Linked DNA regions of Coturnix japonica. The protein of the gene in region 2 purifies or fractionates together with the protein of the main gene of each other region. This does not show direct contact. Links are inferred from orthologs where the notes say so. Each region holds a gene or a part of one and is shown on either strand. Other genes may lie near its edges. The genes, in order: DCAF7, FAM117B and DYRK1A.

Region 1 (5,620 bases), on a different chromosome or scaffold from region 2:
GCAGCTGCTGGCAGAAGGGCATCCAAGTCTCTCACTTCCTCTCGATATGGAAGTGCCATTTCCACTAGAGAACATCTCACCCATGAGGATTTTCATATCTTTTCAGTCATTAACCTTCCAAGCGACTTCTCTGAAAAGAAGCTATTTTAAGCAGCATCTCCCTGTTCCAAAACAGCCTCTAGTGATTTGAAATGTAATTTCATGTGAAGAATGACAACAGATGATGCCCAAAGCAACACGTTACAGATCTAGGAGGCAGATCGACCGGCTAAACAAACAGGATACACGCTTTATTTAGAACCCCCTGGAGTCTACAAAATTCCTTCACTTGCCTTTGAGTAGTTTGGAATGAGAACTCAATTCCATGTGTGAACTTCAATCAGTTTTATGAATGGAGGGACTGACACTCGTTGGGTTCACAACAGGACAGTAGTTCTCCAGCATGAGCAAAAGCTATCTGATTATTTGATGATTAGCCCTTCCATGCTAATCATCACAGCACAACAGACTCTATTCCTAGAGGAACTGACTGTGTTTGCCATTTAGTACAGCCTATGGAACCTTCTAGCCACTTTATTTTCAACTAAATTAGCTTATCTCTTTTTCAAAGAACAATTCTACAGCTGTTTAAAACAAATCTGCTCCCAAGCAGCAGGCGTGTTCATCATCTTTTAACTTATGCCACCTATGCAAGTGTGAGACTTCGAAACACAAAGACGACTTCTGGTAGTTCCCATCATTTCCCAATGCACAAATCAAATTAAGAGATTGCTTAGTACCCATTAAGCTTGCACTCCAAGCCAAAGTTAAAATCCCTCTCAGTGACACAGGACATTACACCTACTGTTTGTAATAAAACACTGTAAGTCAGTGGATGTATTCTTGAGTTTCTAAATCTCTGGATGCAATTATGTGCTGCTGCTAAGAAAACCCTAATTTTCACTTAATTCTGCATAAGTATTTTACAACTTACAACAAAATGCTACTGCAAAAGTTATAACCCAACTATTTGGCTAATACTGCTCTGATATCTAGATCACGTTACCTGTGGAACACTCTACTCTCAGCATCGCAGCTAGTATGAAAACCTATTGCCAAGCCAAATGAAGCCTGCTGTCAAAAATCCCACAGCTGAACACAGAATGTCACTGACAAAACATGAGCTTAAACTGTTAAGAGTCCTCGGCTCTGATATTACAAGAGGTGATGCAGTAATGCTGCCTCTAAGGAACTGCAAACAGGACTTGCAAGGCAGTGCTCTTCTAAGCTCCATGTCAGGAAGTCATCCGTGCAAGAACATTCTTACGTCCAGAACAACATAACTTCCCAGAGTCCATTCTGTATTGGATATTGCTTTCTGCATTAGCTTCACTGTTTCCCTGCAGTCCCTTTTCCTAACCTGCATTTCCCACACAAGCTGATGAAACACAGTTTGCAAGTGCTCTACTGTTTTTAATGCTGCCTGCAGTTGCAGGTGAATATACATCAGGTAGAAAGACAGCGCTGATCGTTTCTGACATTTCCATCAAAACTCAGCTGCTATACCCCCATGGACCAGCTACAGCTGTCATGTCTTCATTGGAAGAAGAGCACTGTGGAGCTTTTATCTCAATACCTGTGCTATATTAAGACTTCAGTACAGATTTTTATCTTGTCTAATCCACTCAGCTTTGATTGCAGTGTATTACTGTAAAGCATTCCACTATTCAAAACAGAAACAGATGCCCTTGGATGCATCTCAAATAACCACAAGGATGACAAGCACCGAACTATAGCCTCTGCGGCACTGTTTCTTTCACTTGAAATCTGTCTTCTGAGCATTACATTAGGGAATTATTTCTTTCAGAGAAACAGCTTTCATTTGGATGGTGGATGAGTTCTTCCACCTCATCTCATTCATTCAACAAGACCCGACAGTACAAAGCAAACATGTTTAGGAAAAAAAGGGTCCTCCTTTCAAGAACTCCCAGGAACACAGAACAAATGCAAAGAAGCTCCATGGCACTGGTTAACCACAAGATCTTGCTCGTGTTATCTGCTAATCAAGCAAGCTACAAAGTGTGAAACCATTTTATTTTGGTTCAGATCGTAAGCCCTCTAAGGGGAAATCATTTCATTGGAAACGTCAATCCAGAGTCCATTATTACAAATAGCATTTTTTTTCTTAAGTCATTTCCCTCAGAGGGAGCTCAAGTCATGCAAATACCTTCCGTCTGAAACCCATTACCGTTCTGTTAGCTACCACAACTGCAGGAGACACACAGTAAATGCAGTTCTTATTTAAAAATAAGGCCTGCCATAGTAGCAGCTGCCTCTAGCATCAGAGAAGTGTAAAGAAATTGTGCAACAAGTACTTGTACTTCACAGCACCAAGTAACCAGGTATTGAGAGCCAAGGCAACAGTTAGTTCTGGCAGGCCTTTACTGCCAGGGAGCCTGCAGTGTTGTTTTGTGATTTGTATCAACAAAGATATCCTGCTTTAGGTATATGGAAGTGGATCACATATCAAAAGTAAGAATTCGGGAGAAAAGCCTTACTCAATAGAAAGTTAGCCCAATATATAAAAAACATACAAATGTTTAAACAGTTTAGAGGCAGCAACAACAGGAATGATAAAGATTCCTGCCAAGGTGGCTGTTAACATTACCATCTTTTTCCCCACCTTGTTTTGCACTTGCATCTATTAAACTAGGTAGATGTGCCGCCCTGGCTAGCTGACAAACACTTGGACATACGCAGCAACTTAAAGCCTGCAAGCTTATTAACACAGTCAACAAACAAATATACAGAACTTTAACTGAGGGAAACAAAAACAAAGAAAACCAGAACCCAAAAGGTCCAAGAGGCTCAGCGTGTCTCTGCATTTTAGAGTCTTGGAGAGACAGGAGACACCTGCCATTGATTCTTGTAACAGTTTCTTGGAACAGTAGATGCAAAGCAACAACAGATACTGGCCACTTGACTTGTGTTGTTCTTACTTTAGAGGGGTGGGGAAATTATACAGCCCTGCCTCAATTAGGCATGAAGCAGTAGTGTTACACTCTCAAAATTTCCAGGCAGTTGTTGTAGCAGATAGCTATCCAGTCTGGCTGAGTTGATGCCCACTGTACATTGTTGATTTCTCCCTCTGCTGTATAGGCCAAGATAGGGTCCTCAATGGCACGAGGCATTTGCTGGATGTCCCAGATGAGAGCCTGATGGTCATCCGCTGCAAAAGAAAACGAAATCCTAAGTGGGATCAAAGCACAACAAGATGTCCATACATGGCTACTAAGAGGGGTGTAGTAAAAAGCTAGTTTGAATATAGACCTTGCAGTTCAGATAAGAAAGTGAGACAGATACAATGATAGAACTGCTCTCCAAGTAGAACTCGTACACATCTTTGGATAATTATGTCATCCAGGACAAAGTTAAAAACACAATTGGTGGAACTCAAAGTGCAAACACTTCAGAACTAAATTGCAAAATAAGTTCAGCAGCACTGAAATAAAACAGCTTAGCCAAAGGAGATGCACAGCTAGAGCACCAGGCTCACCAGCAGAGACGGTAAGAGCGTGACCAAGAATCTCTTTCCATGCTTACCTGCTGTACAAATGTGGCAGGAAGAATGAGGTGCCCAAGCAATTCCATTTACACATGCTCTGTGGTTGTTTAACCTGGCAACAGGAGTGCAGGGAACTCTGACATCGAGAATCACAACCTTCAGAAACAAAAATCAAGCTAAGTTAATAACTTGTATTTCCATCTCTCATCCCATCCAGAGAGCAAAGAGTTTTGAACTAAGGCTTTAAATACCTTCCAAAAGGATGCATTTGGCAAGCACACATTGTTCTGAAAGAACAGTTTCTAGCTGGTCAGCATGTTGTGTGCATTTCAGAAGTAGTCAGACCTCACATAGGACGCTTGTGAGTTATGAAAAAAAAAGTGACTCATGCTTCCCTGAAGCAGTTCAGGTAAAAATCTACGGTACACTGCCTGGTGCAAAGAGCTGAGAAAGAACAAGGTGACTAAAATACTCACACTTACTGTTTTATGTGAGAGCTGCTGCCCAACTGGCTCATGGAACCCTCATAAATTGACTGAAATATAGAGGGGGGCACAGAGACCTTCACATTTATAATGCCAAACTTACCTCTAGCTCCTACTGAAATTACTGCAACAAGAATTGGCCTTTCTCATGCTCCACTTACTGCACCTTCACTTTAAGAACTAAGTGTAAATGACCAAACCACCTCCCTCAAATTGCCTTGTTCCTTCTGCAGAACTACCGCCTTACCTCCATGCCATCCATGGCCATTGTGGCAAGATAGTTGGGATCCTGCTTATTCCAGCAGAGACGCAGCAATGGATGGTGTTGTGGGTCTTCATAAATTATGGTGCTATGTTCCAGATGACGGAGATCAAACATCCTCACTGAGCCATCTGCACCAACCGAAGCGAACATATCTCTCCCACCACCTGCACGGCTAAATGCTATATCATACACCTGCTCAACACCAAAACAGAAAAAAAACAACCCGGGTTTTAGTGAGCATCCTGCCTCCTAATCCACAGCTAAATGCATTTCCTATATGGACAGAAGAAATTGTTACTACTACTACTGTAATACTTTTTGTCAAATACTTGAGTTTCCTAGCAAGTTCTTAAGCCAAAGGGAGAGGAAAAAACAAGTTGTATAATTACAGGATTATTCACTGAAACAGAACATAGGTACTTTCTGGATTCAGATATTACATTAAAATGAAAGAATCCTGTAAGATGTTTATTGCCTTTGATACGCAATTGATTACAATTCCAGTTTGATTCTTCCAAAAATATTCTGTAGCATAATCTTGTAAAACAAATATATTCTCAAGTCCAGATTCTATGGTAAGTAAGCAGAGTAGTTCTGATAGCTGATAGAACAGCTTTAATTAGTTTGTAATACATTAAAACTGTATTTTACCTATAATTAATGCACCTGAAACTCATAAATCTTAATTGTGGATCATTAGATTTTTGAATGATCAGAATTCTCAAGAAAAAAAACAAAGGAGAAAGCAAAAGTTTTGTTGCTTTACTGCTTGAAAAACAAAGAAAAGCAATGTAAACAACCAAAAATATCCATCACCTCTTTGTCATGTGCAATAAGCTGGGTCTTGACGTGGCCAGAGACCAGGTTTACTCTTCCCAGAACCTGTCCTGTCTCCAGACCCCAAATAGTGCAGGTTGTGTCAATGCTAGAGGTACCTGAAACAAAAGCACTTCTTTTAGCAAAATATTAGCAAACTCGCACGATTCTCACAAATTCCACTGATGCACTAAGTGGCAATAGTTTCTGATATCTACAGATCAAAACAGCCACAAGAACAGCATACAATTAAAATCAAGAATGTCAAGCAGTCTATCAATGCATTTAAAAGACCCAAACCTTTTGGATGCTGATATGGTCTTTCACATTACACAGGTATAGAGTGTAAATAGCTTATGTCTACCTCAATCTGTGTGGAAGATGCAGCTCTGGGATGAACTTCTCCATCCCTTAAGCCTCGAGTAAAAACCAAAAAACCAAACATAATCACATTGGGACTTCACCAGACTTAATTCAAGAGCGTGTCTTCTTCATTTTGTCAGTCTCACC
Region 2 (5,620 bases):
GTCATTTTAAGTTCCTTTGCATAAACTAAGACACAGAAGTATTTAACACCAGTGTATTCCAGAGTCTTGCATGCAGTCAGAACAATGAGAAAACAGATCATACAATCATATACTGGCTTGATTTGGAAGGGACCTTGAGAATCTTCTAGTTCCAACCCCCTGCTGTGGACAGTACCACCACCTACCAGATAGGGGACCAAATCAGGCTGTGCAGGACCCCATGCAACCTGGCCTTGAACACCTCTAGGGATGTGGCATGCTTCTATGGGCAGCCTGTTCCAGAACTTTGCCAACTTGTCAGTGAAAAATAACCCCCGACAACTAATCTAAATCTCCTCTCTTCTAGTTCAAAATCATTCCCCCTTGTCCTATCACTATCTACGCAGGCAAAAATTTGATTTCCCTCCTGCTTATAAGCTGCCTTTAAGTACTGGAAAGCTGCTATCAGGTCTTCCCCATACCTTTTCTCCAAGCTAAACAAGCCCAACTTCCTCAGCAGATGTGCAGTGCACAAATGCCTCTCTGGGATAATAAAGTGAACTCATAAAACGTATCACAGTTCATGGTCTTTTCTTATAGAATGCAAATAATTCAAATGCATCACTGCCAAGGTACAATGTCTGCAACATGAAAGCAAACAGGAGCTAGTGAGCAAGAAAGCCAAAGTTCTTTCTTCTTGCATCTAAAGACTATCTTTACACTTAAGTTCTCTGAAGTAAAACAAATCTGACCTACCTGTGTGGCTTTGTCTCTCATACATGGAACAGCTTGTCCGTGATTATCACGAGGCCACTGTCCAGCAAGGTAAGGAGCAGCAAGCGTATCCAATGAGGAAGTCCGGCGAATAATACTGGAAGGGCTTGATGAAGGTGGCCTTGATTTGTCTGCCAAAGTAATAACATTTGATTAGAAAGCAAGAAACTGCCTTCAAAAAGTTGTATAAAACTAGATGCTACTAGAGCTATGATATTATTCCAGATACAAGTAGAACTGTTCACTTTTCCAAGCTCTGTTCAGTTACAACATGCAGTGAAATGTTTTTCCTTGGAAAATATCCTCATGCCACAAACAATGCATCAATACTCCAGCAACATCAGTTACTCAATCAGAGGTGCAAGATGCATTAAGTGATGAAGGCTTCAATTAAAAATGGCAGGATTTCCTGACACCTGCCAACACCTAACCAAGGAAATATGTGCCAAACTTCCTCAATGTAATGCTTCAAATTAATGCATTAATTCCTTCCCCTGTGCCTACCTGAATTCAAGGGATGTTGTAGCTGAAGTGTTCTATTAACTACCCAAAATACGATACACAGCAGATTTGCAGAGTTATATCTAAACCCCAGTTCCTTTAGTCAGCTTTGATAAGGTAATGATTTACACTTCACAAGATAATCAGCACATTTCCTCCCTTTACACACTGCTTGGTAACTGTATTCACATTTGCCTGGCACTAACTAGACTTTCTGCAACTCTTCTAACATTTTATATGATCACACTGACATCACTCCTCAGAACAATTTAGACACTAACAGGAGCCTCCACTGGAAGAGATTAAAAATAACAAAGATAGGAAGCAAAATGAGGCAGGGGAATATGGCTAAAAGAAATCTGCATCCACCAACAACATTTTAAAGTTGCAGTTAGAGGACCATAAGCCAGTAAGTGTCAACTGTGTACAGAAAGGCTCCTCAAAATAAGAGGTGACATTTACTATATTAAAGAAAATGACAAATAGGAAAGACATAGGCCTCAGGTATACATACATTCTCATGCTATTTGTTCTAGATGTAAAAACCAAATTCAGAAATTGAAATGATATAAGCTTATTATCACACTCTTTACTACCCACAGAATTATACCTGATCCTACAAAAACACAGAGGCCTAAGACAAGTGGCTAAAACACAAAGCAAAGAATATTCAGCAATCAGATGAATGCTTTAGAAGGGCTCTGGAAAAACTCAGTCATACGTCCTCTTTCTGACTATGTCTTTGGACGAGTTCCACACTAAAAGCAGAAATACCACAGCAATTTGTACTCTACACGAATTCATCTATGTGCAAAGGAAGCTGGGCCTGATTACTGTCAGACTGCTAGTCCTCAGATAAAACCACTACCATTATACGTCCAGAATTCAATTTCTGTGCTGTTTCAACGTATTCAAGGTACACAGAGACTAATAAAACCTGTTAGTTACAGAGATACAGTGGTGTGGACAACATTCCCAGAATGCCAGTCTTTTACACAAATTTTAATTATCCTCATACAAACTCTGCATTAGAAACATACATTAAAACCATGAAGCACTATAATTATCCCTAATAACATAAAGCAGTCCAGGAACCTCATCTGTTTTATTATTTCCAATTGCACCAACAAAGATCAAACTCTGTGTACTGAGCCGAGTGCTGAACCGCTCTCAGGGAGTTGCACCAAAGCTCAGTTTTCAAGTTACCACACACTTGAAGATTCCTGTATCAAAGAAAGTTTCTGGCTACCACTACCATTCAGCACACTAAAGAGTCTCTTTCTATCAGAAGATTTCAAAACGATTCCTTTTGTTTGCACCATGGGAGAATGCGGCATGCTAATACAACACCTAAGTCCTTACAAATTGGGTTTGCTTCTCACGTTATATCAAACATGTTATTTCTCTGAGAAATAGCTGCCATATTGCCCTTACTTATTTTTCTTCTGAATTATCATTCTTTCTCTTCAAGAAGCTTCTCTCTTTTCTTTTTTGCCAAGGGGAAACAGAAAGGATGTGAGAAAAAATAATCAGGAAGCATGTGTAGTCGTTCACATCATCTGCAAGGCAACTGCAATAGACAGCTTCACAATCGAAGAAGCAGAAGCTGTTACTGTTCCCCCTCCCCCACCAAAATGGTGAGGATGGGGCAAAACAGCGGGGATGAAAGCTGTTTATTATTTAAGTTCAAGGGAAACTGCATCTTTCAAGCTACAAAACCTATAAATACCATAAATGAAAGGAAAAAGACAATCCCTCAGTGAATTTGGATGTCAGAAGACTGTCTTAATTTAGATAGTAAAGGATAATGGCACACACGTTTACTTCCTTTCCACTGTCACAAACGCCTTGATACAAATTGCCACAGACTACTACTCCACGCTGCTTCAAAACACTTCAATGGAAACACGCAGCGCCTTCATTGCCTTTCCCTCTACAACACTCGAAGCGTTCAGCTGCTATTTTCCCTTGATGTGACCTACATAACAAGAGATCTGCCTCCATAGAGATAACAGTTACAACAGCTGTGGCTGATGAAAAACAATGGGGATGTTTCATCAAACGTACAGTCCTTAAATATTAGATCTGTTCTAATTACCCCAATTAACTCTTTAAACTAATATTTGTGGAAAGCATCAACCCTCCTACCCGTCCCCTACTGCCCTAAATAAACCCGTTTAGAAACAAAGTCTTTCTGCAAGCTGGTTTCCAACAAAGCAAAGTAACAGAATGAGATATAAACAGGACACACACAACACAAATCAGCAAAGTCCACAATGTGGGAAAACACCCAGTAGTTACTGCAGCACTATGGCAAACCACCTATCCATATATCTATCTGGACATCCATCCACAGAACCTCTGAAGGCCATTTAAGCTAAGGCAGCATAACAATGAGACCGGACAGCAAAATAAAACAGGTAGAGATGCTTAGCAATAACCAACTGAATAGCAGGAATGATAATACTGCCTTGGGGTGGGGTCTTCTTAACACAAGTCCCACAGCTACAGTCACACTGATGTCCTTTCTCAGTTGTAGGACTGCACACCTATAAACTGGAGACCTCACAAAGGAACACTGATGCAGAGAGAAGCTTGTTCATGTTGCATCGCAAGCATTCATGAGGCTCAAATGGCACTGAGACACAAAGCATGACCACGTTTCCCCTCTGGAAGGTAGTCTTGGCTATTACCTTCCTAAAGATGTAGAAGAACTACACACTAATTTGCATGAAAACACTTCTAATTCAAACACTCCCTGGCAGCCTCGACCGCAAGAAATCTAAATTACGATGCTGCAAAAAAGGAGTTCACTTTCTGTACACTTATCATTTGTAAACAGCTTACACTAACAAAGAGGCCACCTGATGGTACACAAAGTCTTCTGTACTCTCTTAACCTACACTCACATCTTCTATAACTACAGCAACGTACAGTAATTAATGCTGACAGGTCTGCAGCTATTATTTTGCTTTTCACTGAGTTTTAAAAATAATTCTACAGTGACATTTAAGTGTGATGGAGCTCCTCGTCTTTTCTCTCCAGCCAGGACAAGTTCACATCCAAGCTCTATGACTTCCTGATATCCCATTCTAAGTCTCCTTCACTTCCTTTCACACGAGTAGGCTTTAGGATCTCTTTATCACGTACTATTCTAATTAAAATACAGGGTAGTTTGAGATAAAAATAAAGGGAAGAAAGTCAACAAGGCATTACAGATGCCAAACTCGTTATGTAGAAAAGGAACATGTGCTGGAAGAAAGGGAAAAAAAACCCCACATGACTAACTTCCTCTAACAGAGGTCTGCAGATGAGTAAAGGTGCCTATGCAAGAACTGAACTGCAAGAACTGGAGATGGCAGGATACACCTTGCAGCACAGGAATAAGGCAAAGGAGTCAGTCGTCATGCAGGTGACAGGAACAACAGCGCAGTAACTGAAAAATCAGTATTTATTCATACAGAAGCAGAAGCTAAAGCCCGTGAAATCAGTGCTGGAGACTGCAGGGAGAGAAGATCAGAGAACAAAACATGCTGTGAGAAGATCTAATCTCCTGGCCTTACCTTGGGAGGAAGCAGGAAGAAAAACCCAGGAATGTAGGGAATGTGCCACCAAACCTCCAGCTTATAGTTACCCCAATGTCAATAGCAAATTCAGCTCAGTATTTTGAACGTCTCGTTGCAGTCCTGCTCAGAGTACCTAAGTCTAAAGCAAACAAACCAAGCCAGAAAATACACACCCAGAGAAAGAACCTATTAAACCAACGTTTCTGTACCAACCTAATGTTCCTTATGTATTAAGGAGGATGATAAGAACTCCCAGTTCTAAACTACTCAACTACTTACTAGAAAAGAACAGCTGAAAACCAGGGAGTCGAGCCTAAAGCGCACAAACTGCAGAATCAATACTGAAGTTCAGAAGCAGCTACCATTTGTCTGACCTTAAGGCTCCTTTCAATCCAAAGGAACAGACAAAAACAATAACCCCAAACCACAACGTGGCTGCAGCTATAGGAACAAACAGAAGCCACCAAAAACTGAAAACAAGAAGCAGGAAAATCTGATATTCTGTAGGTTCTGATGTTACCCTATGGTGTCCTGTACAGCTTCACAACTCCAGTCTCAGTTCCACTTCCACGTTCCTGCCCGCCACTACGTTTTCTCAGCTAGATGAGGAAAGTGAATCTGGCTCAGCATACGTCAAGCACTGGACTACATAAGACAAATATTAAGCAGAACGAACCAGCCTCACTTTGCATTTCGGGTGCACACGAGTATGGCTCAGAAATGTACAAAATCAGGTGGCAGAAAGTAAACAGACACCACTCATCAGGCTCTGCACCTCTTGTAAGAAGCCAGGAGCTCTG
Region 3 (5,620 bases), on a different chromosome or scaffold from region 2:
ATAGTGGAAGTTCTGGGGATTCCGCCTGCCCATATCCTTGACCAAGCACCAAAAGCAAGAAAGTTCTTTGAGAAGTTGCCAGATGGCACTTGGAACTTGAAGAAGACCAAAGATGGAAAAAGGGTAAGTTACGTAATCAATATGAAAATACAGAAAATACATTAAAAAGATAAAAATAAAAATAATAATAATAAAAAAGAAGTGGTGATATGTTACGTTGTTTTACATTATCTTACCAAAAGCATGGCTGTATTGTTTATTATCATTGTTCGGTGTCATAAGACAGGGCAATTAAGTGACAATTTACATAGTATTTAATAGTTTCTTACTTTGATCTGGCTGACTTATTTTATGACAAAATTAAACCATGAATTGAAGTGGCTTAATATATGTGACTTGGTTTTCCAACAGGAATACAAACCACCTGGAACTCGTAAACTTCACAATATACTAGGAGTTGAAACAGGAGGACCAGGTGGACGTCGTGCTGGGGAATCGGGTCATACTGTAGCTGACTACTTGAAGTTCAAAGACCTCATCTTAAGGATGCTTGATTATGACCCTAAGACACGAATTCAACCTTATTATGCCCTACAGCATAGTTTCTTTAAGAAAACAGCAGACGAAGGTACCAACACAAGCAACAGTGTGTCTACGAGTCCTGCTATGGAGCAGTCGCAGTCTTCAGGAACCACCTCCAGTACATCTTCAAGCTCAGGTGAGGATTTCCCCTTAATGGAACAGAAAATTATATTTCTGAATCACATCAAAGGAGACTTTCACAGGTAAAAGTCATATCACTGTCAGTCACAGTCATTGAAAGCATTTATATATTATCTAGAACAGGAAAGTGCTCTAACAAAAAAAAAAAAAAAAATCAGCAGATTTACACAACTGTGAGTGATTATCATAGGTCCTGTGTTCGAATCAGTTCAAATCTTTATGCTGTTGTTGTCTGCGACCTTCTGTAAATTTTTTCTCTTGTTGTGTTGCTATGATTTTTATAGGTGGATCTTCTGGAACAAGCAACAGTGGAAGGGCACGGTCAGACCCCACACACCAGCATCGACATAGTGGTGGACACTTCACTGCTGCTGTTCAAGCTATGGACTGTGAAACACACAGCCCACAGGTATGCTGAAGTAGAGCTTTTGTCTGTTTGATGTATATATTTTTTCTGAGAGTGTTGAATCCCTGAAACTAATTATATTAGGTTTACATGACAGGGATTCATGTCATGAGTGGAGGGGGGATGCACAGGTGTCGTCTGGGAAAAATCTAGGAGCTGACCCAAGTTAGATAAGAGCAAGCTCCATCTGGCTTAAAAAAGGGACCAGCTGTTGGCCAGAACTGAGCCAAGAAGTGACACTGGTTGCACCTCTGTGGTAGCAGATTCAAGAAAGGGGAAAAAAAAGACTGTACAGCAGCAACTGGGAGAAAGGAATGACTAACTATAGAAAGAAACAGCTCTGCTGGTGCCAAGGTCTTGAGCAGGGGAGGGCAGCATATGCACCAGGTGTGGGTCAGGAGCTCTGCTGCAGCTCCTGGAGAGGCCCATGGAAACCAGAAAAGGTTGTACATACTACTTTGCAGCTGACAGATTCTTTTTCTCCCATGTATGTGATTTAACTCATTCAACAAATTGATGTGTTTCTAGATCTGGCTTACTTTAATTTGTCAGTGAGATCATTAATTGGACATACTTTTATTGTTTGGGAAAAAAAAAGTTCAGAATACAAACTTTTTATATTTAGAAATGTATATTAGAAATGAATAATCATTTCACTATTTGCTTTTCCTGTTAACGTAGGTTCGACAACAGTTTCCTCCTCCGATTGGTTGGACAGCCACTGAAGCTCCCACACAGGTCACTGTTGAAAACCATCCAGTTCAAGAAACCACCTTCCATGTAACCCCTCAACAACAGAATGCATTACATCATCATCACGGAAATAGCTCTCACCACCACCATCACCACCACCACCACCACCATCATCATGGACAGCAAGCCTTGGGTAGCCGGACCAGGCCAAGGGTCTACAATTCTCCAACAAACAGCTCCTCCACCCAGGATTCTATGGAGGTGGGCCACAGTCACCACTCCATGACATCCCTGTCTTCCTCAACTACTTCTTCCTCTACATCTTCCTCCTCTACTGGTAACCAAGGCAATCAGGCCTATCAGAACCGCCCAGTGGCTGCTAATACCTTGGACTTTGGACAAAATGGAGCTATGGACATGAATTTAACAGTCTACTCTAATCCGCGCCAAGAAACTGGCATAGCTGGACATCCAACGTACCAGTTTTCTGCTAATACAGGTCCTGCTCATTACATGACTGAAGGACACCTTGCAATGAGGCAAGGGATTGATAGAGAAGAGTCTCCCATGACAGGAGTTTGTGTTCAGCAAAGTCCTGTGGCTAGCTCGTGACTAAACTGAAACTAAGTTTGTTTCTTGTGTGTTTTTATAGAAGTGGTGTTTTTCCAAAAACAAAGTGCAAAGCTGCTTGAATCAGAAGGAGATAAACTCACTGAACCGCTACAGGAGGGCAAAGCTGACTATTTTTTTAGACTTGAAAAGATTGCAAAGGGACAATGAAGTTTTTTTTGGTTTGGTTTGTTTTTTTAAGAGCCATGTCCGGACCCACCTTAACAGATAGCATAGTAGCGTTCACCTTTCGCTTCCCCCATTTTAACTTGCCACAACCTAGTCATAGTTTGCTTTTTTTTTCTTGGGGACTGGGGAGGGGAGGGGAGAAAGAGGGGTTTTTTAAAATTTTTTTGGTTTTTTTTCCCCCCTTTTTCAGACTCATTCAACAGGGATTATTGTTCAAATGTTAGCTGTAGTTGCAAACTAGTTTCTTTTTAATGGCATTGCACATGATTTACAAAAAGGCCCTTTGAAATTTTTGGGTGGGAGAGGAGTGAATAAGATAAGTGTATTTTTTTTTAGTTCCCCAAACAAACATGGGCACAGAAATGCAGTACTGTAAGAAAGAGGGACCTTCAGATCACACAAATATATATTCTTCAGTTGTAAAAAGGGACGGTTGTAATGGATTTTGTAAGGCACATTAAGCATGATAAGTGGCGGTGATCAGAACTCTCCTTATCTGAATCTACTGAGGATCAAAGCAGCAATTGTAATGGGATTCTGCGTGTCTCATATTTTGGAGACCGCAGTCAGTTAGTGTTGAAATATGACTGGTTTCATAACTAAGGTGCACTGAGAAGCAATCAACGGGTCGGTCCTGGCCAGTCGTGGGGAGGTCTAAGTGGTGGTCTTTGGGATAACCTTTGGCCTTATGGATTTGGACTCTTAAGTTAGAAGAGCCTACCATTTCAGATGCAATCACTTTTGGACATGCTTTTGCAGACGGTCCTTAATGCTGAAAACACAGAGAATGGGTAATTCAAGAGGCCTTTCTTTTAAAATAGACTTTTGTGACCCACTTATTGTAAGGTATTGCAAGGTCACTTTGCGTGTGTCATAAAGTTGACTTCCTTATTGGTTGAAGGTCACAGGAGTAGTGGTTTGCGTTTGATGGAAATAGCTACAACTGTGTCCCTTCCCGCTTTTTACTTTTTTCTTTTGCTTTTTCTTGGCACGTGGTTTCTCCACCATTACTTCTGCACAAAGACGTCTTCTGTTCATCCTGAACATTTTTAAAAATGCAGAATTTTATGTGACTGCTTTTTTGCCTCACAATTATGCTGTGAATTTTACAAAAATTTATTTTCTTTTTTGATAATTTATTGTACCAAAGCTGTTTTTATAGCACATAGATGTCTGTAACCAATAATGTAGCAGTTCTGCACTTTGACACAAGGTGTAACTAGACCATTTTTAAATGTCAGTTGAAAATTATGGCTGTACTATTGCTTAAACAAAACTGGAACTGTTGTTGAATTCATAGCCAATACATTTACAGCAATCTGTGTACTGAACATAATAGATTGACATCTACTTCAAGACTATAACATCTGTTACATTATAAACGTGTTCAGGCTTCTGAAGGTAAAAGGGACGCTAGATCCAGAAGCTATGAAACCAGCAGTTTGATTCTTGTATTCCTTATTAACATAATTGTAAACTTGAAGGCAAGACCTTGATTGCATGAACAGGTCCAAAATAATAGTCTGAGTAAAGCAAAACACTCACATGAGACCTGAGGTTAGAAGGCTGTATTTAACAGGTGCCTAATTTTTGGGTAATGCTGCCTTAATATAACACAGTCAGCTTGGCAGTTGCAAAATTTATGGGCCCAGTCAGAGATTTATTAATATTAGAAGTAAAAGCATGGTGAAAAACATCTGAAAGAATAAGAGTGAGTCAGTGATTGCCCATCCCAGATTAACACTGTTTGCCCATTATATATTACAGAAGCAGTGATCTACCTCTGCCAGTAAGCCCTTTTAAAAGTTAATTCAGCAGAAATTCCGGAGTTCACACTGATCAGTTCCATGTGGCTAAGTAATTTTTTTTCAGACTAAAAGGTGGACTTTTTTATACTTGCAGTAGCAGCACAGCAGCTGAATACCATGTACATGAGAATGAATACTTGGGATTACCTTTTTTTTTTTTTTTTTTTGGTAAATCACGACTTTTTTATCAAGTGATCCATATTTCTTTTCTATTGAAGTGTCAACCCTGTGGATGAAAGTGGGTTGTTTTTTTCCTGATTGTTTTCCTTTCTTCTTAAACTCAGTGATTAAGAGAAGTTTACAGGGATTGGAAAGCTGTCACCTTAAAAACAAAAAGGATACTGAGTTCAGCAATATAAAAAGGAATCCAGTACTTACTGCTGTCTAGGAATATAAGGGTGATATGAAATCTGGGTATTTTTGTGTGCACGGGTTGCCACACCTTAGCAAGCGCCAAAAAACGAAGCAATTAATAAAAAACAAACTAACTACATAAAGAAGAAACCACAAAATCCAGTGCTTATGCATACTGTGTTATGTTACAGTCCAGTTTTGTGTGCTTTACTACACAGTTTGGTTACAGGACTTCTGTGCATTGTAAACATAAACAGCATGGAAAAGGTTAAATACCTGTGTTCAGATTGTAAGATCTAGTCCGGACTTGCTGTGTATATTGTAACGTTAAATGAAAAAGACAAGCCCTTTGTATTATAGTCATGCAGTCTTATGTATGATAAACAGTTGAATAATTTGTCCTCAGACTCTTTACTGTGCTTTTTGAAAAAACAAAAAACAAACAAACAAAAAAAAAAAGAGTAATTTAAGAAAAAAAATGTAAACATAGTAAATCTTCCTATGCAATTAACCTACTCCAAGCCATGGTATGGTAGGTATGATTATACTATAATATGTAAATATCAGATACATTGAAACAGACTTAAAAATATGAAAGTAAAAGTTGGAGGCATAATGGATAATTTTGAGTTTTTAATTGAAACAGCAAGGTATACAAATCAATGATGTATGAACACAGCTCTGCTTGATTCTGTTTGACTGTATTTGTAGTTTGAGTTGTTTATATTATCATCTGTTAGTTTGAATGTTCTTATATGCACTGCAGCTTTCTACCTAATACAAGACTAGCTGATTTTAAGGCCAGAAGTGACCATGGTAATGAAATATTCTGACTGGC

Evidence for each region.
Region 1: the proteins of FAM117B (region 2) and DCAF7 purify together in Homo sapiens (affinity purification with mass spectrometry; 3 studies listed by BioGRID and IntAct, with this or other methods). This does not show direct contact. The link is inferred for Coturnix japonica from reciprocal best matches to the Homo sapiens genes FAM117B and DCAF7.
Region 3: the proteins of FAM117B (region 2) and DYRK1A purify together in Homo sapiens (affinity purification with mass spectrometry; 8 studies listed by BioGRID and IntAct, counting the BioPlex papers as one, with this or other methods). This does not show direct contact. The link is inferred for Coturnix japonica from reciprocal best matches to the Homo sapiens genes FAM117B and DYRK1A.

The regions. Positions count from the first base shown.
Region 1 is NC_029542.1:2,165,259-2,170,878, reverse strand, and holds part of DCAF7 (DDB1- and CUL4-associated factor 7), read right to left. Parts: coding exon 5,620-5,620; intron 5,230-5,619; coding exon 5,111-5,229; intron 4,487-5,110; coding exon 4,277-4,486; intron 3,701-4,276; coding exon 3,583-3,700; intron 3,209-3,582; coding exon 3,036-3,208; 3' UTR 1-3,035. UniProt on the Homo sapiens protein: Involved in craniofacial development. Acts upstream of the EDN1 pathway and is required for formation of the upper jaw equivalent, the palatoquadrate. The activity required for EDN1 pathway function differs between the first and second arches.
Region 2 is NC_029522.1:10,402,556-10,408,175, reverse strand, and holds part of FAM117B (protein FAM117B), read right to left. Parts: intron 885-5,620; coding exon 736-884; intron 1-735.
Region 3 is NC_029516.1:96,484,117-96,489,736, forward strand, and holds part of DYRK1A (dual specificity tyrosine-phosphorylation-regulated kinase 1A), read left to right. Parts: coding exon 1-123; intron 124-411; coding exon 412-718; intron 719-1,007; coding exon 1,008-1,132; intron 1,133-1,810; coding exon 1,811-2,434; 3' UTR 2,435-5,620. UniProt on the Homo sapiens protein: Dual-specificity kinase which possesses both serine/threonine and tyrosine kinase activities. Exhibits a substrate preference for proline at position P+1 and arginine at position P-3.